Linked DNA regions of Caenorhabditis elegans. The protein of the gene in region 1 interacts with the protein of each later gene in a pairwise test. Each region holds a gene or a part of one and is shown on either strand. Other genes may lie near its edges.

Evidence for each region. Proteins that work in one complex are often made in the same cells at the same time.
Region 2: the proteins of cku-80 (region 1) and cah-3 interact in a two-hybrid assay, tested with the Caenorhabditis elegans proteins (2 studies listed by BioGRID).
Region 3: the proteins of cku-80 (region 1) and F59A2.5 interact in a two-hybrid assay, tested with the Caenorhabditis elegans proteins (2 studies listed by BioGRID).

The regions. Positions count from the first base shown.
Region 1 is NC_003281.10:4,415,786-4,425,406, reverse strand, and holds cku-80 (ATP-dependent DNA helicase II subunit 2), read right to left. Parts: upstream 5,560-9,621; 5' UTR 5,552-5,559; coding exon 5,411-5,551; intron 5,364-5,410; coding exon 5,168-5,363; intron 5,119-5,167; coding exon 4,941-5,118; intron 4,895-4,940; coding exon 4,811-4,894; intron 4,489-4,810; coding exon 4,416-4,488; intron 4,366-4,415; coding exon 4,131-4,365; intron 4,086-4,130; coding exon 3,955-4,085; intron 3,510-3,954; coding exon 3,194-3,509; intron 3,142-3,193; coding exon 3,081-3,141; intron 3,036-3,080; coding exon 2,950-3,035; intron 2,897-2,949; coding exon 2,478-2,896; intron 2,426-2,477; coding exon 2,293-2,425; intron 2,240-2,292; coding exon 2,151-2,239; 3' UTR 2,032-2,150; downstream 1-2,031. Other genes in the region: C28A5.6 (Protein kinase domain-containing protein), read left to right, coding at 32-130, 180-745, 1,039-1,366, 1,413-1,612; R07E5.7 (vacuolar ATPase assembly integral membrane protein VMA21), read left to right, coding at 6,241-6,346, 6,393-6,707, 6,754-6,908; R07E5.19 (Vacuolar ATPase assembly integral membrane protein VMA21 homolog), read left to right, coding at 7,355-7,520, 7,595-7,737; pdcd-2 (MYND-type domain-containing protein), read left to right, coding at 7,746-7,764, 7,968-8,119, 8,378-8,697, 9,090-9,384, 9,435-9,621.
Region 2 is NC_003284.9:16,483,280-16,491,254, reverse strand, and holds cah-3 (Putative carbonic anhydrase 3), read right to left. Parts: upstream 3,775-7,975; 5' UTR 3,722-3,774; coding exon 3,682-3,721; intron 3,198-3,681; coding exon 3,051-3,197; intron 3,005-3,050; coding exon 2,650-3,004; intron 2,343-2,649; coding exon 2,144-2,342; 3' UTR 1,858-2,143; downstream 1-1,857. UniProt on the Caenorhabditis elegans protein: Reversible hydration of carbon dioxide.
Region 3 is NC_003281.10:3,400,590-3,407,326, reverse strand, and holds F59A2.5 (L antigen family member 3), read right to left. Parts: upstream 2,465-6,737; 5' UTR 2,449-2,464; coding exon 2,366-2,448; intron 2,255-2,365; coding exon 2,126-2,254; intron 2,078-2,125; coding exon 1,918-2,077; 3' UTR 1,858-1,917; downstream 1-1,857. Other genes in the region: golg-4 (GRIP domain-containing protein), read right to left, coding at 301-552, 1,492-1,593, 1,638-1,751; npp-9 (Nuclear Pore complex Protein), read left to right, coding at 3,064-3,081, 3,131-3,223, 3,269-3,694, 3,748-4,245, 4,350-4,810, 4,860-5,757, 6,018-6,161, 6,220-6,336.

The DNA of each region.
Region 1 (9,621 bases):
GACAATCTGCCAATAATTGTTTATTTTTCAGTGAATTATCTCTATGATGGTTGTGCTGATTTTGTTCCACTGGTTGCTTGTTTCATAGCCAATAAAAAGTTGACCTATGAAACTTTCATGGAGAAAATGAGTAAGTGTCAGCTTAGTATTTTTTTTATTATTTAATGTTTTTATTTCAGATCTGATATTTTCGGTGGATGTTATGCAATATTCTGACAAAGAACAACCAAGACTTTACACAATGAAAGAACTCGAAGAAGTCAAGAAAACTAGAAGAGCTCCAGATTTCTACACGAATAATGCGATTGATCTAGTAGAAGGTCATTGGCATGCAGCTGATGAATCGGATCACGATAATTTGAAGGCATCGGATGAGGAGAATGAACAGAAAAGTGCAGCAGCAAGAAAATCAAAGAGTGAGAAGAAGAAGGATTCTTGTGAGAGGTCAAGCGCTGAAACATCTTCTTGCACCGAACAGACCTCTTCGCCAATGTCAGAAGCTAGTTCATCTGATGGGAGAAAGAAACCGAAGAAGGCTGGGAAATCAGCTGAGAGAAAGGAAAAATCCGCAGAAAGGAATCCGTCGAGTGAAAAGGATGATGATGGTGCAACGGAGGCGATGATTGGTGTCGAAAGACGTTCAACTCCTTCCGATGTTGTCAAGAATAAAAAAGGTCGAGCGAAAGGTGATCCGGAGAAACAGAAGCAGGATAGAAAGGAGAACAAAACTGAAGAAGAGAAGAGTGTAAGTATTATGGATCCATCTCGAGACGTAAATAGAGAATGCCGCAGTTTGAAAGCAAAGTGCGTGCAATTGCGCTCCACGACAATATGAAACTATTTATTGGCGGCAAATCCGGAAATTCAAATTTTTAGTAGAAAATTTTAATTTACGTTTTTGACGCCAATACCTAACGATATATAAATTCCGGTGAGCAGAGTTTTCATTGGAGCGCAATCGTACCAACTTTGATTTCAAAACTATAGTTTCTGCGTCGCGATAATATAAACGAGTCTTTGAAAATTTATAATTTTCAGAAATTATCTGAACCACCGAAGCCGAAGCCGGGAAGAGGAAAAAAGGTCAGCCGCGGACTGATCACCCGCGAGTTTTTGTTGGGAATGAGACATGATTTTACTGGTACACAGTCGGCAATGACAGGCTCATATGATTCTACGTCTGCCACATCGTTATCCACGTGGACTTCGTCTACGTGTGCAACTGATGAAGGAGAAGAGAAGAGGAAGTTCAAATGGAGTCTGAAGTCTGAAGAGGATTCTGAAGTTGAGTTTTTCGAAGACTTGGATCAAGAGGAAAGAGAACATTTTAGAAACTATGAGAATCTAGTTGCTCTTTCTGTTAAAGGTATTTTTTATTATTATTGTAATTGTTGGTCATACTCTTGTTATAGATGAAGTGGCCCTCTCGTCTGGATCTGAAGTCGAACCACTCTCTGATATTGATTCTGAGGAGAATCTGGCAATTATTAAAAGACTTGAGAAACGAGAGATGGAAATCGGTTGGGAAGTGTCAAGTGAGCGGGAGAAGACAACCGGCGATAGAAGCCCAGATGATCAACTCGATAAACTGGAAGCATACGAGAAGAAGTGAAAAAAGGAGAAAGATTAAAACTTCCATCGGAACTTGATCTATTACTTGAAATTGAAGATTTGAATAAACTGAACTTGTTTCTTAAATTTGTGAATACCTGAGTCGTCATTTTAGTGGCACAAACTCCGTCAAAGATAGTAGGCAGGCACATTGGCTAGATGTAGGCGATAAACTAGGCATTGAAACCTGTGGGAGGTGCATAGGTATACCTATAGGCATGCATTATGCACACAAGTCGGTAGACATTAAGATCGATGTTTGAGTACTTCTCTGTTATTGTTACCAGTCTGCCTACCGATACACTTGGGTACATCACATTTTCGCCTACCTACGAGCCTACATCTTGCTTTTCCCTACTTTTTCCTCTCACTGTACGTACTAAATAAAAAAAATGCTGACTTTCACATTAAAAAGCGTTCTTTGGGTGATCACCATGATACGGTAGTATGATTTTATTTTCATTTCAGTTCATTCACAGCTTTAAAATGATTGTAGTTAGTTATTTGAGATACATTGCCATAAAATAAAATAAAAATGCTCAATCTTCTTCCCAGAATTCGGCAGCATTGGCGACGGAGACTTCTGACATGCTGACTTCGGAAGAATCAATTGGATTGCATGATTTTTCTGAAATTTGTTGAATGAGGAATGGCAGAAAAGTGGACATGAAATGGTAGTACCTTCAGAAAGAACTTCAGCAAATGGTTCAAAGTCTTCTTCGTCTTTCAACTTCTTGAGAAGTTCATTGAACTCGTCACATTTTGAGTTTTCAACGAAAACTGAGCGAATAACATTCAATTCATTGACGAGAAGCTGTAAATTTAAAATTTAAAGTTTTATTTTGAAAATCTATTTTTGAAAATACCGTAAAGAACTCAGTAACTGCTCCATTTGGTTGAAATTTGCAAGTATTTGAAATCATTTCAAGAATTTTCGAGCAAACACGACTAGCTCCGCCATCTTCCATGATATCCATTTGAACTTCTTCTTTTCTCGTCAATTTCTTTGCATTTGGTTTTTTCTTTTTCTTTTGACTTGCACCATCATCTACCTCATCTGGTTGTGTCATATTCTGTTTTTTCTCCGTCCATTCGGATATCATTGTCTGCAGATCTTCAGGCTCTACCGTAACCCGTTCTCGTTTGGTTTTCTGAATTGGTTGCAGATTGAATTCGCGGCCAAGCTTCTGGAAAATCTCCGGATGTTCTGCTTCGACTCTGCGTTTCGGTGCCATTATTTGATCGAGAATTTGATTGGTTCGATTGGAATGATTTTCGAAGGTATCTGAAATGACAATAATATTATTTCATTTAAACCGAATTCACAAGAATATGTACCGTTTGGATGTAGAACTAAACTTTTGAGAAAATGGCATTGCATCTGCAATTTTGGATCACTCATTCCACCTTCGACCAGTGAAGAGCTGAAAACAATTTTTTATTGGACAATATTTTTCTGAAATTCAAACATTTCATCTTCTTGTAATTGCATACAATCGATAAGGTCATCTACAGCGGAGAGTTGAGCTACTGAAATTTAATTAGTTTTTTGTTAAATTCAAAAGTCTGAATGAATATATACCAGTAGGCTTATTCAAATCTTCATCTTCCTCGTCAAATGAGAATTTCGGGAATTTCAATGTTCTCATATCATCGGAAAATGGTAATTTCACTGATCTTAGATAGAAAACGCCAGTTTCTTCATCTTGATGTGGTAGAAGAGCAATGAGTTGCACATGAGATTTTGCATGGAATGTGTATCGACAAATGGCAGCGACTCGAAGTGAAAGCATTGCTTCGATGAGGGATACGGTAGCTTTGGTGGCACCTGATTTTGGTGAATTGAGAGCAGGAAGTACTGTTTTCGCGCTGGCATCGAGGAGATATGAGTCGAGAATCTAGAAATAATTATTACAATTATGAGATGCGAAATTTTGCGATTTATGAATGGCTATCTTTCTTTTGTTGTGATTTTGAACCAAAAAGTAAAAAAAACGTTATTTTTTTTTCAAAAATGCTAATTTTAGAAGAGAGGTAAGACACCGATTTTTTCGGAGAAATTTGTTTTTGGTCGGAATTATTATTGTGACAACTGGATCTGAAATGAGATTTTTTTGGTAAAATTTCGTGATTAGTTTTTCGGTTTTTTTCTCAAAAAAATGACCATGATTTGTCTATTTTAAAATACAAATTTCAAAATATCGTGTTATAACTGTGAAAAATCGATGAAATTTCAACGGAAACGAAATTTTGAAATTACAGTACTCTTTAAAGGCGCACACCCTTTTTTCGTCGCCTCTAATTTAACATTCTCCGTCGTTGCGAGACCATGTCATATCTTACATTTGCTCTTTTCGTGAACTGTATCAGTTTTAGCACTCCACCAGTCTGTCCCTCGTTGAAATTATGATCATTGTATTTTTCTTTAAGATATTCTGGGTCCATCATGATAACCGATTTTCCGAAATTGTAGCCTGACGCATTAATAATAGATTTTAAAAAATTTAGAATTTCACTACCATGCATAGTTTTTATATTTTCAACGGGTTTAAAGTTTTTCTGAAATTTCGGTTTCTCTTCCAGAACCGGCGATTTGAATTCATCTTTCGGAGCAACTTCGTCAGTTTCCACGTGCATTTGTTCCAATCGAACCATTTCATTTCCTTCGGAATCTGCATTTTTGAACTTGAGTAGTGCTGTAGATTTTTCAGATTTTAGAGCAAAAATCACCGGGAGATGGATTCCAGGAGCAATCTGAACGTTATTTTTATTGTATTAGATTAGATTTCTTCAAAAACTCTTACATCCCACATTTTATTGTATTTTCTCTCGGATTTCTGACGAGCCTGGAAGGTGGAGAGCATCTTTGCGACGTTTCTGGAAATTGTAATTATGATGATATTACTCCAGGCGCGAAATGTTATAGTATTTGCGCCGAAAATACGGTAGCCGGTCTTGACACGACAATTATTGTTAGATACAAACAAGCGTGTTCCTTTAAAGGGTACTGTTATTTTAAATTTTCGTTGTTGTGGAATTTTTAAAGATTTCTCAAATAATATTTATGTGTTTTTAAAAACCATTATTTCAGTTTTTTTTAACGAAAAATTATGGAAAATCGATGAACATTTCGCAAAAAGCGTGTCTAGATTCCGTATTTTTGGCGCAAAAATCGCCAATTTTATTTTTAAAAACTCACTGAAAAGTATATGTTCTTCCTTCTAATGTTTCTGCCAATTCTGCAACTCGAGAAGCAGGATATTCTGGATTTTCATCGATTCCACTGGAATAAGTATTTTTTTTTCAACGCTAAAATGGAAAAATCTTACATTATCATCAAATCTGCATTACTTTCACTAACGGCTTCAACTAAAAGATCGAAATTTTCTTGTCGAATGTTCTCGTTTAATCCATTTGTCAGTACAATCAACGTGATTCCTGATGGATTCGGATACGATTCGATTTGATCTTTTAGCACTGCGACGGCTCCCAGAACACCTTTGAAAACTGAAAAAAATAAATAGGATTTTTGAATTTGTCTTGGATATTCTCTCACAATTTGGATCTATCATTTCTGTATTTTGCTGCAATTCCTTTGTGATAAACTTTAAATGATCAAAGCTGGCTGGTGTAAACTTTTCATTTTGACACTGGACTCCATTAAATGTTTGACCGCCAACTTCTGTTTTGTATTCTTTCGGATCCAAATTGTAGGCCATCACTGAGAAGAGCTCGGGATCTTTGGAAAATAGCTGAAAACAATTTTTTCTTTGAAAGTTTTCTCGAATTTTAGTATCACTTTTCTCGAAACAATCCAATCTGCAGCATTGATCGCATTTTCAAATGCACTTTTTCCAGTTTCAGTGTCTTTCACAGACATATTGGATCCTGCGTCGATAAGGATTACGGTAATCCCGGGAGATACCTTTTTAGGCGGCATTCCTGTAACTTAATTTAAATTGGTGATGTTGAGAAGTTCATATGGAAATATTGCGAAACATGTGAATAAATAATGCGTGCGTTTTTCAAGACTGGCGCGGGTTTTGTACGCAAACACCAACTTTTTGCTGCAGCGAAAAATGAATTTTAAAACATTAAAATTAGAATATTAAAAGAAGATCATTTTAGATACTGCTGGAATATAGCTTTTATCGTTTTTTTTTTCAAATAAAATAAACCAAAACTGATTTTTAAACATTAAAAACCGCTCCCACAAATTCACGAACGTTCGTTCGAACCTCGCGCCGATTATTTTGCGCGTCGAATCTGGTGCACGCGGACAGTTCACCGTCACGCAAAAGTGCACACTCTCAGAGATTGATCACATTTTTCGGTCATTCGTTGTTTTTCGTGAAAATCAAAGTTTAAAAGGGATGTTTCGGGAATTTTTTGTTTGATTTTAAACATAAATTAAACGGTTCTTTCCGAAGTTGAAAGTTCTTCGGTTTTCCGATAACTTCCTCCTTTTCTTGCTTATTTTCAGTGTTGTGTTTGTGTTAAACGTTTTCCTCGTTGCCCGATTTGGTCTTTCGTAATTCTATTTTCTCTGTCAATAACTGACGTTAAATTACACGCTCTATATTTTCATGCGCTCTTCTGGTTCCTCGGTTGTATTTAAATCTTTCCAGAATGAGCGATACTCCAGAACAGGAGCAAGACTTCGAGCTGATCGACGGAGCTGAACGAAAATCCAGCACTTCAGATAGTTTTGAAGCTGTTGATGAAAAGAAAAATGGTATTTTACAAATATATGTTTTTTGTTTAGTGAATTAATAGTTTAGGTAGTCAATCTGTCAGTGAAAACGAGGATGACAATGCTGACAAATCGGCGAAAGAGGAAGATGATGAAGTTGAAGAGGAGATGAAGCTTCCATTCGTTGATCAGTCAATTAAAGACGACGCAAATCGGCCGAAAGAGAAAGACGGTGAGGACCTAGTAGAAGAGGCACTGAAAGCACCGATTCGACCCGATCAAGAACAATTCTACACAGCAGAGCATTCGAATAGAGCTATAACTCTGCTCATCGCATTTTCTGCAATGATGTTCACACTTCCACTGCTTGTTATGGCAAGCTTGTATTATTGGGTATTCATCGGTAAGTGGACTTTTCCAGAATCAATTTTATAGATAATTTGTTTCAGACCACTTCCATTTACCACCAGCAGAAGCCATGCTTTATGCCGGAGTATGTGCTGCCTTGGTCGTAATTCTCATTGCTGCCGCTTTCTGTTATATTGCATGGAAAGAAGAGAAAGACGCCGAAGACAAACTCAGAGCAGAGAAAAAGAAAGAATAGCGTGGCTGTGTATTATCTTCTTCAAAAATTCCTCCTGAACATTCACTTCCCGTTTGGACCTCGTTTACTTATTTGTGATCACTTCGACCCGTTCTATTTATATTAGTGCCTCTGGCTAGATGCTTTTGTACATAACGAATAAATTTTTTTTGTTATATTTTTTCCTTACTAATTGAATTTTTCTCTCTGAAGCGTAGTTTTCGCTTTACTATATTTTAATTTGAAATTGTCAAATTTTGTATCTCTTGATTTCCTTTACTTTTGGCGCCGCTGGATTCAACTCGGGATATCCGGGATTTTTTTTAATTAAAAAAAAACAAATTTTCGGTAAGATTCTCCCAGAAACCTTGGTATGAACCTATTCTCCCCTTAATAATCTTATTTTTTATTCCAATAATAATTATTTGATTTTAAACCCATGGATATACCGAGTTGTTTGCAGCGAAATGACCACTTCCTCTTCATCCGAACCATCAACAATGGCAACTCTGTTCCCGAACTTTCGTGATCAGGAAGTCCAATCCGCTGTCAAGAACCTTCTCACGTATAGTCTTGTGATTCTCATCGTTCCTCTTGCTTCTATGTTCCTCTTGAAACAATTCTTTTTCGAAGGTACAGAGCTTGTTCTACCGATTATTTTTAATTTTTGAAAAATGAATAAAATTCCATTTTCTCTCCTATTTCAGGGCTCCTGGGTGTCAGTGCAAACGACGCTTTGACCTATTCTGCGATCATTGCTGTCGTCCTCGTCCACGTGGTTTTGGGTATCTGGCTCTTCGCTGCTACCAAACAAGAAGATCGCAAGAAGCGTGAAAACAAGCAAGACTAGAAGACACAATGCAAACCGACATTCATGGTTCTCGGCAATTTTTTCTGTTTCACTTTCCCCAATCAATAATGCCTTATTTCTTGTATATTGATCAATCGAAATATTTAAATTTAAATTCTTTGACAAATTTCTTCAAGTCGGACTTAACCAATAAATTTAAGAAAATACACACTAAGTCTCCTGCCCGTTCTCTTTATCTTGTTTGCAGCATGAAAATAGCTCGTTTTCAGATGAACCAGTAAACTTGGGATTCGGAGTTCAATTCGAGCCAGATGATCTGTATCGTCTACGTTCGCAATTTCTTCCACTCGGAAAAATAGGAGGAAAACCGTCATGGTTGAATCCAAAAAATCTTCCAAAATCCGCAGATTTGTTGTGCAACGTAGGTTTTTTATAACAGAACTTTGAAACTGACCTAATTTTAGCTAAATCTTCAATTTTGCCAACTTTTCCGTATTGCAGCGTTCAGAAATTAATTTTATTTGATCATTGTTTTATTTTACTACAAAAATATGGAAAATAAAACAGCAATACGGAAATATTTGCAAAATTAAAAATTTTAGCTGAAATTATAATTTTTTCAAAATTAGCAACAAAAAACTTCCTACAACCGTCCACCAAATAATTTCCCAAATTTAAGGTCTGCGAGAAACCACTGTGTTTCCTGATGCAAGTATCAGCAAATGGAGGTATAAATGATCCTCCACACGCTTTTCATCGTTCTCTATTTCTCTTCGTTTGCCGTAATCCATCCTGCTCTCGTACAAATGATGCCGCAAATCTGAAAGCCTTCCGATGCCAACTTCCACGTGCCAATGATTATTATTCATTTGATGGACCAATGGATCCTGATTTGGATGGAGATGTTGCTGATCCACGTGCACCGGCTGATGGACCCGGATTGTGTCGAATCTGTGGATGTTCCGCTGCGAAAAAATGTGCCAAGTGCCAAGTGGCGAGGTGAGAGAAGTTACCCATACGAAAAATGTTGCGTCCAGAATAAAAAATTCTCCGTTAAATGCAAAAAGGCGTGTGCCTACTCTAATTAGTACTCTAATTAGGCTTATAATTCCAAAATTTTCTTGCTGCGGAATTTTTATTGACTTTTAATATTTCTTCTCTCGAATATAATTATTTTGTTAAAGTTTAAAAAAATTAATACAAATATCTTCGGAAAACTTTGGAAAATCTATGAAAATTCAGCAAATTTATAATTACAGTACCCCTTAAAGGCGCTCACATTTTTGTGCATTTAACAAAAATTTGTCGTATCGAGACCAGTTACAGTATTTCTGGCCGGAAAGACGAAATTCTGGTAAATTTTGTTCACACCTTATATGTCACAATTTCAGATATTGCTCTCAAGCTCATCAAGTCATCGACTGGCCTGCTCACAAGCTCGAATGTGCTAAAGCGGCAACAGATGGCTCCATAACGGATGAACCGAAAAATCCAAGAAATGCGTTTTGTTTCAAAGAATTCGGTGTAGAAATTGATCAGGAATATATGCCAGCAAATCTGTTTGACGGACTTAGTGATGATGAAGGCGATGAGGAAGAGGAAGAAGGAAATGATGAGGATGAGACTGAAGAGGAGAAGAAAGCAAGAATCAGAGAATTTGAGAAATTTGTCAAGGAGAACAAAGGGGTTAGTTTGACGCCGGAAAAAACAATTAAATTTCTCAATTCCTTTTTCAGAAAAACGCTGACATGACAAAGGAAGATTTGGATGAAGCCACCGCCGAGCAACCAAAAGATATCGATTTTGATAAATTCAACCGTCTTGTCAATTTGCAACCCGATCAGATTATTAGATACAAGAGATACGGACAGCCACTCCGTGCAACTGGCCTTTCTGAATTGCCAGAAGTTGTGGAACCATGTG
Region 2 (7,975 bases), on another chromosome or scaffold:
AGTGAAAAAAAACAAAGATAATGGAAACGCACTCTATAGTGCAATTCAAATTGAAATTTGGCACAAAACTGTAGATTTCTCGATTTTTATCTTGAAGCAACATGAAGTGGAGTGATTCTGACAAGTTCTCACCTTTTCCGATAAGTTCACTACAATATCTGATTTTTAGCAACACATGAACGTTTTCAAAAAAAACTTCCTTACTGACGCTACACAAAAACTGATATTATTTTCAATATACATGTTTTCAAACCGGCTGAACACAAATTTTGGATGCTCGTTTTTCAGTAAATTGGAAGGTATCATGTAAAATTAAAACGTTATACTAGTTTGCTTCAAATGTATAAGAAACAATATATGTGCTCATTTTTTGTTAAATCCAAGGTAGGCAGTTGTTTACCCGCAACCATGTCCCCCATAATTATGGCTCACCCTGTACTTATTGTAAGTATTCGGTACTTCATATACATGTAATTTAACTCGTTTTCAATAAAATGTCAAGTGAATGGGCTTCTTTTTTTTTCAAAGAAACTACAATCGACCTACCTTTCAATTTCTGAACAATCCGAATTTTACAAGGGATTTATAACTTCAAGTAATTTTAAAACTGAAATAAAGCCACAGTTGAGGTATTTGATCTTTGATCAATTTTAGAACGTTCAGGGCATCCCACAGTCTCATTGTTAAAAAAAACTTTTGGAAAATTTATAAACACTCGCTTTTTGGAAAAAAAAGTTATCACGTAAAGTCGAACATGGACTAACATCAAATTGGAAAGAGTCTGTGTTGAGTTCAAGTATTTTAGAAAGGATTACTGGTGAATGATTTTGTAGATTTTTGTTGGTTGGGTAGCAATGAGGCTAACACTTTTCACAATAGCAAAAGCTGCGTCTTGACTGAAGAAATTGAGCATTTCGTTCAAACTTGAAAAAAAAACTTTATCTAGATTTGCAGAAGTTCCTATGTCAAACTGTAGCCACACACGGACTGTAACAGGGAATCTCAGGTCAAAACAGACCCCAGCCCAAATAGAAGTGGGGCATCACGTTGTGTCAAAGTGTCCCATTTTGGTTTGTTCTACGTAGATCTTCGAGAAATGCTGGAAAAGAGACGCAGACTTCTCGACTGATTTTGCATGGTTAAGAGCGTGCTGATGTCACATTTTTTGGGCAAAAAATTCCCGCAATTTTTGTAGATCAAACCGTAATGGAACAGTCTGGCACCACGTAATGCATTTCATATGTGGTTTTTGTGTTTTTTTAAACTGTTTTTGGCATGTAAACGCTGAAAAATTGTTAAGTTCTTAAAAAACAGTTTAATAAAACGTTAACCTCTGAACTAAATTCTTCACAGATTTGAAAAAAATAGAAATTTGTTTCGTAAAAAATATGAATTCAACGTAGTTTTTATACATTTCCTCAAACAATGGTTTTCAAATGTGATAGTTTCGACACCTTACTGAAAAGCTTCACTGTGTTAAAAAATTATTTTTGGCAAAACGGACGCTTTTATACGCCGAGACGCAGTGGTTTGATCTGAGCAGCAAAAACAAAAATTCAGCCTTTTCTCATCATCCGTTATTTAAAAGCGAAATGTTGCAACATTTTAATATTTTATTTTGAAATACCCTTTTTTCTCTGTAACTTGTTTGTTTTTTTCCACAGAAAAAAAGCCTGCAAAATGAAAAAGTGACAAAAAACTAATTAAACCCCTCCCTGAAAAAACCGATAACACATCTTTCCAAAATTCCATTTCGTTCCGTCACCCCTTGAGCTCATACGACCCTATTTTGCACAACACAACTACTTCCTCTTCGTGACGTCACACCCCACACTTTTTATTGAAAAATTGATGAACAAAAAATTCTAAAAATTTATTCAATGTTGTTAACAAAGTTGGAATTGTAGGTGGAGTGGGAACCCATGGGTTTCGTGTCAGAGTAACTAGAATATTGCAATGATTTGGCAGAAATTGCGAATTACTACATAAGAAAAATAGACATCGGGCTGGCTTGAAGTGTTGAAATCAGAGGAAAACGGGGATTTTTGACAAAAGTTGCTTGGGACCATGAAGTTTTTGTTTGGCATTTTTGTATCGGTATTAAATTTGAAAAATGAAAAAAAAACTTTTTTCTGGGAAAATTCTAATTAGCTACAATGTGAACGATTTTGCGATCATTCAAATTTTGAGTCGGACGGTAGTTTTTCTTGATGGGACGCTTCTCGATGTCCTGGACCTGACGGAACAACTCAAGTTGATCGTGGGTGACGGTGACTGGCTCGGTGAAGATGGTCCAGGTGACGATTTCCGAGCATGGCGGGGTGGTGAGAGATCCTTCGTATCTGAAAATCAAACAATGAATGCGACTGGAAATATGTTTGTTAGATCGTCTGAAATATTATGCTATTGCACCTGCATAAACTGTTCAGGCACTGACTTCAAATGTGACTATGAATCAGGAGTAATTGAAAAGTGTGAGATTTGAGCATTTGATCTCTGGCTTCATTATATATTTCAGGTTGGATAAACTATGTTGAGATCAAATAATCATATTAATAGCTGACATCAGTCACGCAAAACCTTTAAAAGGTTTCCCTGTTCCGATTCAATTTAGTATAAGAATATTCAGCTAAGATTCCTTGATCTTACCTCCAGAACGACCTCTTGTTTGCTGGCAGCTTCTCGGAAAGCCTAACATTCTCCACACGAGTCACTGTCTCCGGATTGCAAAGTTTTCCCAAAACACGCTCCTCATTCGACAACGCCTTTCCCTCTTTTCCAAGTTGAAGAAAAACACCAACAACGGCTAGCTTGCCGGGGTCTTCAACTCCCTGGTGGACGAGATGAAGCTCGGCCGGATAGCGGAGCCCACCCAGCGTGTGCTCGGATCCCTCGTTGTCATTCTCTCCCCAATGGAAGTGGTATTGCACGAGGCGGTAGACCTGATCAAGGCCGCCGCCGTAGATTTCTGGGTGTTCCGATCGCAGCTCCGGGGTCATTTGAACTGGAATAAGTAAAGTTAAGCTGAGTTATTTTGAAAAATTAGTTACCAGAATGTCCATTGTTCACAATATCTCCTTGAATAGGATGATCATAATTGACAAACTTGATTCCATCATGGGTATCCTTACGTTCAACCTCTCCCAAATCAATGTTGATTGGGGATTGATGCTGTCCAGTGGGCCAGCGATTGGGTCCTGGAATTAAATTTAATACCATTTGTTATTAATACAATACTTTTTTCGAGAAATAACTCAATCGTTATGTTTTTCTTTGCACGTGGTGTCAGACTGTCTCGTTGCGGTTTGATCTATAAAAAATGCGGGAGTTTTTCCGCCAGGAAAGTGTGACGTCAGCACACTCTTAACCATGCAAAATCAGTTGAAAAGTCTGCATCCGTTCTCCCGCATTTTTCGAAGATCAAACCAATATTGGGCACTCTGAAACCACGTGTTTTTGCGAATTTGGACATTCTAATACTTCTCAGTTTCACAGAGTTATTACTGAACTGAAAATGTTTATATGTAGCAGTCCATGTTATAGGGTGAAATTATCAATATAATTTAATTTTTGATCATTTATTCCTTTTACTGAGTAGATAAATGCTACTGAGCATAACTAATTTTCGAGACACTCAGTTAAGTTTTGAGTTCAAAAAACAGCTAATTTGAGTCAACTTACCACACTCATCATCATCGCAGTAGCTCCAGTGCCCTGTCATCTTTGTTGGAGACACTCTCTTTGATGTGGAGCAGAAAATGTGATAAGAGAGTTCTGCAATTTGAGATTCAATTTTATTAGCAAAAACGTGGAAAAGGGCAAAGAAAGATAAGACTTCCGGTTCAAACCACAATTTTCCACATTTTTTTTTCAAGTATTTCAACTCAAGAGTGTCACTGAAAATTGAAAAAAAAAGAAGAACATTTGGGAAAGGAATAAAAAGAGTGGAGGCATGCCGAAATAGGCGGGGCCTGGTGGGTACTGCTGAAGATAAAATTGAATAAGAAAGCTGAAGGATGGAAATGAAAATATTGTGTAGAGACGCTTCTTCTTTTTTTGTGCTGGTTTTCTACTTCCTAGTTGCTTAGCTCTCTACACTTCACAACGAAAATTTCGAAGAGTTTTGTTTTGTATATTTTGTGGACAAATATGTAGGAGCAAAATAGTTGGAAAAAATACGAACGAAATTTTTTGACAAGCCTCTGGAAAAGCGACGCATCTTCTTCGTCTCCAGCTGAAGATGACATCGTCTGTGTGTAGCTCTGTGTTGTGGAACGACGGGAAAGATGTTGTTTTGTTATTGCCCACGATGCCGTCCAGAAGATGATCAATGCTTTTTTAGGAGACGCGGGAAGCTAAGAGGTCCTTGTCCCCTCTTTTTCCGTCTTTCTCGAGTACCTAAGAATCATGAACTAAGCTTTAAACTTAAAAATAAGAACTTTTGTGCTTGTGCTTTTTAAGTCATGGAGGAAATTGTTTCATGACGATTTTTGGTAAAATTTTTTTTGTAGTAATTGAGTACAGATATAATTTTATTTTTTTAAAAACGGGTAAACAGTTTCATCGCCTAAAGATTTGCAATTTTTTTTCAAAAAGTTATCTTTTTTTTAAGCATATGATCAAAATTTGGAGCTACTTTACGAGCTTTGAACACTGCGAAAATGTAAATTAAAATTATTTCTCATCAAAATTTAGAGTCAGTTATGGCTGGTTAAATTTTTTGTGATAACCTAGTTCATTTTGGGCATTAAAACTGAAAATGTATTCTCTCAAAGTTTAGAAAATAACTTTGTATTTTTAAATATCAAAAACCAAAAATTTCAGCTTCTCAAAATTTTTTTCATTTTGCCAGCTAATTTCAAAACTTGATTTTTCAAGTTCATACAACAATTTCCTCATTGACACCTACCTACATTCACAACACATTTACAAAACACAACTCAAACCACTGCACCTGCATGCAATTTCTCAGGAAAAGCTGCTCGGGAAAACTTGAAAATTCTCACGACTACTGCTCAACATGAAGTGCAAAATGATGAGTGTTAGAAAAAAAGAAGACTGGTGGAAAAAAGAAGATGACGTCCTAGGAGCAGTTTTGAGTAAAATGGAGTGAAAAGTAGAAATACCTAGGGTTTTTGTCTCCTCTTATTCTTCTTCGCGCTTTTTTTCTCACTTTGAAACCAAACAAAGAAGGGTTCTAGGAATGTGAGTGGGTAGGGGAAGGAGGGAGAAAATGCGGAGTTAGGTTTAGAGTAAGAAATTATTAATATTTCTTAGAAAATATTGAAGCTCTGAAAACATCAACGATTTTCAATAATTGTTGGACATATAGTTTGAGTCTAAAACCGCAAAAATGTATCAGAATCATACAGTGCGTACAAGTTCTATACGCCACCCCCTAAATTTATGCATGTGGGCACGTCTGAATTTTTTAGAAGAATTCTGCTGATGCCATTTGATTCCAAATCCTAAAAAACCTATGAGCCTGAGTTTTCATGACCGTACCTCAAAAACTAAATAAATTAGGTCTCACATGAAAGTTCAAGACTGGAAAATTCTAAAAAGAGAAATGTTCATTTTCTCAAACATCAATGAGAAGCTTGATCAGCAAACATGGAAATTGAAGAAATTTGACCCTCCAAAAAAATCCTGATTCCCACTTAATGTTCAAACTTTAAGAATCGAAAAACAAGCGAAAATCAAGCAAATTCTATTGCAACTCGAAGTATTCAACTATTTTATAGCCCGACACGTGGTTCGGAGATTATCGAGTTTAGTGGTGAGAGGAGTCAGAAGCCGTGAGAGAGAGAAAGAGCTTTTCATATATCTTTTGATCTCGGAAATTGATGGAAGAGGAACACGGAACACTGGAATGCACGTTGGAATTTATGGAAATTTTTTGGAAAAGTTGTGACATTGTGGCATATGCATATTTAAATTTTTGGATAATCTCAAGTACTCAACAAATTGGGATTTCGATTGAAATAACCTGAAAACATTTTTTGCTCTTTTTTCAGCTTTTACGTATTTTTTGCGAGTGAGCCAAAATTGAACAGATGTTCACAAAACTGACACTTAATTATATTAAAACCCTTGTTAAAAATTACTTTCTATTTGAAACCCCAAACTATATCTTTTTTCAGAGATGTCTTGAATACAAGTTCAAAGACTTATTTTCCCTTATCAGATTATCCTAAATTATATATTACATATATTTTCTCTTGAGGGGGTGTCTAAAAAGTGATCTCCCATCAAGTGCTTCTTTGTCATTTTTATTCTCTTCATATTTTTATTCTCTTCTCTGTGCCATTTCCGCATGCTCCATCCTTTTGTCGCTGACTTCTTCTTCTTTTTTATTTTCTTGCTCTTCTTGCTCCAGAAACAGAGATCAAGAGCAGAAAATGGCCGCAGGGCGGTGGGAGGAGAAGGGGGAGTGATGTAATGAGAGCACCGAGCACAACCTGATGTGTTTTTTAATTTTCTTTTCTGATTGCTTTTTTCTTTATTGTTTTTGGTTTTCAGATTATAAATTAGAGGGGTTAAATTGTGTTTTTAAATTATTGGGACTCTGAAAAAATTGTAAATTGGAGAATTTAAAAAAATTTCAAAAAAATTGGTACTAGAAATTGGAAATAAATGCCAAAACTATGAAAAATTGTTTCAAAAGAGTTTGAAAAAATTAAATTTTATTTAGATTTACAAAAAATGAAACAAAAATCACAATGTTATGGAGATTCTAGAAAACGAAAATTTTTAAAACTTTTTGAAATTTCTTTTTGAAATTTGTCTTTGGCGTTTTCAAAAATTTGGCGTTTTGCATACTAGCAAATTTAAAAAATTGAAATATAGTATTTAAAAGTTTTACAAGTTACAGAGCTACAAAGCTCTAAACTCCACAAAACTCCAAAGCGAAAAAAAAGCAAAATCAAAAATGAAATGCGATCTATGTTTGAGAAAAATTTTTCCCGCGGGTATTTATTTGACAGTTTCGATGAATTTTGATAAGCCGATGAAACTGATAAGCTCGTGAATCACACAAGAATGGCAAATAGGAATTTTGAGGAAAGGAATTAAAAAAAGAAAAAAAAATCTGCAGAAAATAAACATTTCGAAACATGAAAGCGATGAGACACCTCATTCAACATAGTGCGAAATTAGATCTATGGTTTAGTGGAAGAGCGGGGGGGGGGGGGGGGAGAGGGCAACAGCGGATTGGAAGAGGGGGAGGGAGACCGGAGGGTAAAGCTTCGAAATGTAAACACGCGGCTGTTCAAATACTTGTATGTACATGTGCATTTTTGTCCAGAGATAGACATAATTTTTGTGTTAACCCCCCATGGGAACTTGTGTGCTCAATTGAAAGAAAACAACAGGAAGCACAAAGCCAGAAATCAAAAAAAATTTTCACGTGCTTTTTGTGGGAAAGGCCGGCGGAGGAGGGGAGCGAAATTGGTTTGCCGAGCCTATTCAAAATTTATTATAAATTTTCAGAACGGCTTTTGACTGCACCTGGAGCATTTAAAATATTTAAAAAATTTAAAAAATTATAAATTTTCAGAACTCTTTTTCACAATTTTCGAGGTTGTATTTATTAATAAGGGGGATAATCTTTGAGGAGCGTGTAAAACAGGGGTGTGCGGCAAATCTGCCGAATTTGCCGAGCACCCCTATTGTAAACCATGATGAAAAATATTTTTGTGCAATCAAATTTCAGATGGTTTTTTCGATAAAAACTTTTCGAATTTCGAGCATTTTTTCATGGCCAGTATTATTCAAAAATCTAGTTGAAAAAAACTGATAATTTTATTATATTTTTTTCTCCTCAAAGTTCTGATATTATTTTGAACTAAAGACAAAAATATTTTAGAAAATGTTTGATAAAAATTTCATAAAAATTCGGAAAAAGCGTAGTTTGCAATTTAAAAAATATTTACAGCCTGGTTATTTGAAAAATTACGTCTAAGAAAGCCTAAAA
Region 3 (6,737 bases), 1.0 Mb from region 1:
TAAGAAAATATTTTTTTCGTAGATTCTTTTTCAAAACTGTCTCAGAATTTTTTTTTGACACCCAGGTTAGTTTTCAACACTTTTGTAACTTTTTTTGATTTTTTTAAAATGGAATTTTTTTTTAAATCAGTAAAAAAAAAATTATCCTTTTCTAAATACCAATCTTTTTTTTTTCGAGTAGAATTTTCAAAAAAAAAAAAGGTTTTTTTTTAAATTTATGTTATTTCTAGTTAATTTTGTATTTAATTTTCGAATAAAGTCTATAAAACATGGATTTATTTCATATTTTCCATTACTAACCGGATCATTAGTAGATCTAACAGAAAATGCATCACTAGCAACACTTTCAGAGTCAGAAGGAATAGTTTCTAATGCAGATGAAATTGCATTTGGAATTGATTGAAGTAATGCAGCAAGTGTACTTTCATTTGAATGTATTGAATCTTCAGATGGTGAACGACGTCGACGATTTGATGGAGATTCAGTTGATGAAAGTCCGAGGCCTAGAAGATCAGCTTCAGGGATTTCAGACATTATTGCTGACGAGGATTCCTGGAAATTTATTGAGTCTCAGAGAGATTTTTACAAAATGTTTGACCATTTGTTTCTTATTTTTAGATGAAAATAACATGTTTTTCCTGTTTTATTGATAAAAATTGTGTGTTTAATTGAAAAACGTTTTTTCATTATTTTCCTGAAAATAGCTTAAATTTCAGACATTTTTCTAATTTTTCAGAAGAAAAAAAATTTTCTCATAAAAAATTTTTTTTTTTGCGAATTTATCGATTTTCGGGAAAACCGAATTTTTATTTTTCCGATTTTTTTGGAAAAAAATAGCTCAAATTTTGACATTTTTTTCTTTTTCAGAAAAAAATTATAAACATAATTTTATTTAAAAAAATTTAATTTTCGTATCAATTTTCTACATTTTTTAATTTTCGATATTCTCTGAATTTTTAAAATTCTTTTTTAAGAGAAACAGGATTTCCTCTTTTTTAAATTTTTCGACAAAAAAAGTCATTTTCGATCATTTTCGTAAAAATGTGACCATTTTCAACGAAATCTCTGATTTTTAATGGTTTTTCCCAATGAAAAAAAAAATATTTTTTGGTATTTTTTGAGTTTTCTTGTAAAAAACATGGAAAACATACAAAAATGTGATTTAGATGCGGAAAAAATATATTTTTTTTGCAATTAAATTGATGCAAAACTTCGAAAAAATGGCGAAAAATTTTAATAAAACCTTAAAATTCGTACATTTTAACGGTCTCACAGCTGCTGGAAATAGATTTTTATTTAAAAATCTCTTTGTTTCGCATATTTCTGCTGTTTTTGGTACATTTTTTGGATTCCGAACTAAATCTCACAAGAAATTGTTTTTCAACAGTAAAAATCCATTTTTCCGGAAATTTTCACGAAAATGGTTGGAAAATAATAGTTTTTCGACGATAAATTCAATTTTTCGAGAATTTTTCATGTTAAAACTCTCACAATAGAGGTATTTGCTGGATTTTCAGCTTTAGTTTCTCCTGATTCTCCGGTGAATCTTTTAGAAATCGACGCGGATGCATCACTGCCAGCAGGCTGCTCATTCTGCAATTTTATCGATTTTTTCTCAGTTTTCAGTGGATTTTTACCATCGCCTGCCGATATTGTCCAACTTGAGCGGCGAGTTGTTCTCCATACTGCTGAGCTGATTGTTTAAGCTTTCCGGCTTCATTATCCAGCCGGTTTTTCAGGTTTTTGAACATTTAAACCTGAAAAAATCGATTTTTTAGTGGGGAATTTGCAATAAAATCGAAAAAAAAAGTATTTTAAAGGTTAAAAACCATATTTTTAAGAAGAAAAAATCATGAAAAGTTGAAAAAAATTCATTTCAAAAAACAAAAACAGAAAAAATAACAAATTTTAATCAAATTAAGCCTGAGATCCGTTTGAGAGTTTTCTTTTCAATCCGTTTTCCTTCGATTTTCCCAGATTTTCACAAAGTTTGATAGTTTTCACGGACAAATCGATCATATCAACAGCGTTGGCAATGGATTTTGACAATGATTTCGGATCTTTTGATTCGATTTTTCTGAAAATTAACTTATTTATTTAGTTATTCGAATAGAAAAACTATTACATGACTACAAATTCGCCTTCGCTGCACACTTCCCGTCGAGCACCACTTCTTCTCGGCTCTTTATCGATTTTTATGACATCTGCCACGGTTCGAGCCGCTTCTTCTGTTCCGACGGATAATCGTACGCTTCTGGAATTAATCGGATTAGAAACTGCTGTTAGAACTTCAGAAAATGTTAATTTTGAAACAAAAACATTTAAAAAACAGTTTGTTTTTTGTGTTTTTTAGCGAAAAACTCACGCTGAGTGGATATATGCCGTGCTCGGAGAGCTTGGGTCACATTCGTCCTCTGAAGATGACGATGAGCTTGTGTCTACTTCCATTTTGTTGTTGTAATCACTAAAAAACACAATTTTGAAAGTTTCTGATGAAAAATCAATAAATTCGCTGAGAAAAGTGAATAATAAATGCTATTCCAGGCAAAATTGACATTTCAAAAACCGAAAAAGCCATAAAAAACGACGGAAAATATCAAAAATCCTGTTTTTCGCCTGAAAAACCGGTATTTTCCATGAATAATTGCCAACTCATGGTTAAAGGCGCGCGTGTCGATTTACGCAACGGGTCTCGCCACGGCGCAGGAATTTGAACTTTTTTCGAAATTTGCGAAGCTTGGCGCCCAATTTCTATTTATTTTAGACTGTTTCGCCATAGTTTTTCCGTATTTTTACGAAAAATAGCTGGAAAACATTTTTTGTGCGTTTAAAAGCATATTTTATACAGAAAAGACTAGTTTTAAAGGTAGGAAAGCCCTATTTTAAGCAGGGAAAGCGTTGGCGCGAAATTTCGAAATTCAAATCCCTGGCGCGAATTCTTTGAAGTATTGCTGCTAATTTTCAACTAAAGAGACCGCAGTATTCGTCTTTTTATCTCGCTTTAGCTTGAAGTCTCTTGAATTGTTTACCTGATATTTTTCATATTTCAGCTCTCCTTTCGCAATGAGCGATCAGAAGCCGGTAAGTGAATCTTTTCGAATGTTGCTCAACATGATTCACGGTATTTCAGAATATGGGGCGCATTGTCGCCAGCGTCGTGGATGTGCAGCAGTTGATGACAATGCAGTTTGACTCGCTTATCAAAAGCATGGACTCGTTGAAGGTATGCGATTCATGAAAAACTCAATTTAATACTTATTTTTCACAGATTGAGCACCAGACCGGCGTCACCCAGCTTCGCGATGATATTCGTCGATCCGAGGATCGGTTTCAGAAGCAGTTGTCCGATTTGAGCACTAATCACGGAAAAGAGCTCGAGAGACTTCATCAAATTATACACACTCTTCTTGCTCGTGATGCGAATCCTCTCGGCTCAATGATTCCTCCACAGCAGCTTCAGCAACAACAGCAAATGTTGATTCTTCAGCGACAAATGGAGATGGCTCATGTGCAGGCAGCACAAGCTCAAGCTCATGCTCACGCTCAAGCTCAAGCCCAAGCACAGGCCCAAAGCCAAGTTATGGCTAATTTGCTCAATGCTGCGAAGCCAGCTATTCCCGTTACACAGCCACTGGTCGCCACTACAGCACAAGCAAAATCGACAGTTCCAGCTTCTGGAGTTATTGCACCAAAGGTAACAAATTTTCGGGTTTTAGTTCCAGCAATTAAAAATTCAATATTTTTCAGACATCTCCACCAGAAGTTGTAATTCCACCTGCTAAGCCAACATTCTCTACTCCAACGCCTGCAGTTGTTCCAAAGCCAGCCACCACCGGATTCTCATTCGGCGGGACCAATCCAGCTACTTCAATCTTCGGTAAAAAGCCTGAAACTGCTTCCCCAGTCGTGGTTCCAGCAGCTAAAGATGATGAAGACGAAGAACATGATGAGGATTACGAGCCAGAGGGCGAGTTCAAGCCAGTCATTCCACTGCCAGATCTTGTCGAGGTGAAAACTGGAGAAGAAGGAGAGCAAACCATGTTCTGCAATCGTTCAAAACTCTACATTTATGCCAACGAGACGAAGGAATGGAAGGAGCGAGGAACCGGCGAGCTGAAGGTTCTCTACAACAAGGACAAGAAGTCGTGGAGAGTTGTTATGCGACGAGACCAGGTGACCATTTCGGAGGAGACACTCCCTTCAAATATTGAGAATGGAACCGAAGAATTGTGTTGGAATATTCAGGTTATTCCAATTACAGCTTTTTTCACATTTTTCGGCGTTTTCCTCAACAGAAAGATCTTAATTTAAATTTAAATACCTTAATTTAGCATTAAAATAAATTACAGGTTCTCAAAGTCTGTGCCAATTTCCCAATTCTCGGCTCGATGACCATTCAACAAATGAAATCCAACGAGAAGGCCTACACATGGTTCTGCGAGGACTTTTCCGAAGATCAGCCAGCTCACGTGAAGCTTTCCGCTCGTTTCGCTAACGTCGATATCGCTGGAGAGTTTAAGACTTTGTTCGAGAAGGCTGTCGCTGAGGCAAAATCATCGAGCAACGCTGGAAAGACCATCGACAAGGAAATCAAGCCGGCGGCTGAGGTGAAGAAGGAAGTCAAGCAAGAAGTTGTGATTCCATCAAACAACAAACCGGAAGAGACTGGATTTGGAGATCAGTTCAAGCCAAAACCAGGATCTTGGGAATGCCCTGGATGCTATGTTACTTGCAAAGCTGACGAGATTGAATGTGCCTGTTGTGGGACATCGAAAGACGGATCTGTCAAAGAGAAAAATATATTCTCTAAGTAAATATTCTATTTGAGTTATCTTAAAATTAAAAATTTAAATTTGCAGACCTTCGATCCTCCAGCCTGCCCCAGGAACTCCAAAAGTGACATTCGGATTCGGAGCATCTGCTCCAGCCAAGGAACCTCTTGCTCAAACATCTCAGTTCGGTGGATCACTCAGCGGATCTCCAAGCACTAGCAGTAGCATTTTCGGTGGTGGAACACCAAAGGGAACAAGCGTTTTCGGTGGAGGTGCTGCTAATACTCCAACTTTCTCATTCAACAAGCCAGCTGCCGCTGTCAATGCAACTACCCCATCGTTCAATTTCAACAATCCTGCAGCTTCAACTGCTTCTCCGGCAACCTCTACGACTCCAGGAAATTCATTGTTCGGAGGTGGACTCTCCAAGACTGAATCTACAGCTTCTTCAACTACTACTCCGTCGTTTATGTTCGCCAAGAATTCTGAAAGTGCCTTCCCAAAGCCAACTTTCTCATTCGGAAAGCAACAGACTCCATCAACGACTGCACCAGCTAAACAAGAAGAAAATAAACAGTCCGAGACGCCAAAATCCGTGTTCGGTAGTGGATTCACGTCTGGAGGTGCAACATTCGCTGCCCTTTCAGCCAACTCTGCCAAATCTGGCTCCATTTTCGACGCAGCAAATGTCAAGAAGGCCCAAGAAGAACTTGCTGCTCAGAAGAAGGCAAGCATTTTCGGGAGCAAGAACACCACGTTGAACACGACTTCTGCAACTTCACACGATGGTGATGAGACGAATGAGGATGGAGATGGGGAGTATGAGCCAGAAGTCGAGTTTAAGCCAGTTATTCCTCTTCCGGATTTGGTTGAGGTGAAAACTGGTGAAGAGGACGAGGAGGTCATGTTCTCCGCCAGATGCAAGCTTTATAAGTACTATTCGGATCTCAAGGAGAATAAGGAACGTGGACTCGGAGATATTAAGGTCAGATTTAGGATTTTATATCAAAATGAGCCAGCTTGGCATGTTCTTTTGATAGTTTTCATTAAAATTTAGTGATAAAACGTAGAAAATAACTTATTTCAGTTGAAACAGTTAAGAAAAGTGCTAGTTTTGCGCACTTTTCAACTGTTTTGCAAGTATTTTCTATGTTTTTTCACTAAATTTTAATGAAAACTATTAAGAAAACAACTGATTTTTGACTCATAGAGGCTAAATTTGAGAAAAATAATTTATTATTTCAGCTCCTGAAAAGCAATGACAACAAATATCGAATCGTGATGCGTCGTGAGCAAGTCCATAAGCTCTGTGCCAATTTCCGTATCGAAAAGTCGATGAAGCTCAGTCCGAAGCCAAACTTGCCAAATGTGCTCACATTTATGTGCCAGGTAGCAATTTTTAATTTCTTTTTATATAAAAATGTACTATAAATTCCTTATTTTTCAGGACTTCTCAGAAGACGCCTCCAACGCTGATCCAGCCATCTTCACCGCCAAATTCAAGGACGAGGCGACCGCCGGAGCATTCAAGACGGCTGTTCAGGATGCTCAATCGAAGATGTAATCCTCTGCTGATTATTTAAATTATTTTATTATTGTTATTCCTCCCCACCCAGCACTCTGTGTTAGTATTCCCCACCACCAATTTTATTTATGAACCTAGTTTTATTCATCCCCATCTGCTGTCATCTATAGTCCTTTAAGTGTAGTTTATATTTGTCTGGTAAGGTTTTTAAAAAAATAATTTCCTTATTTCCCCCCCATCTCTCTCAAAATCCCATTGTTCTCATAAGTACCCCCCACACACTATCATTCATAATTTTTGTCTTTAAAACTTAACTATATTGTTCACATTGTCCCGGCATCGATTTTTCCCCACTGGTGACAATCCAATAAATTGTGAATGCATTGAAGAATGAGATTTATTTTGAGGGCGGGAAACAAATAAATAGGGATTAGGAAAAA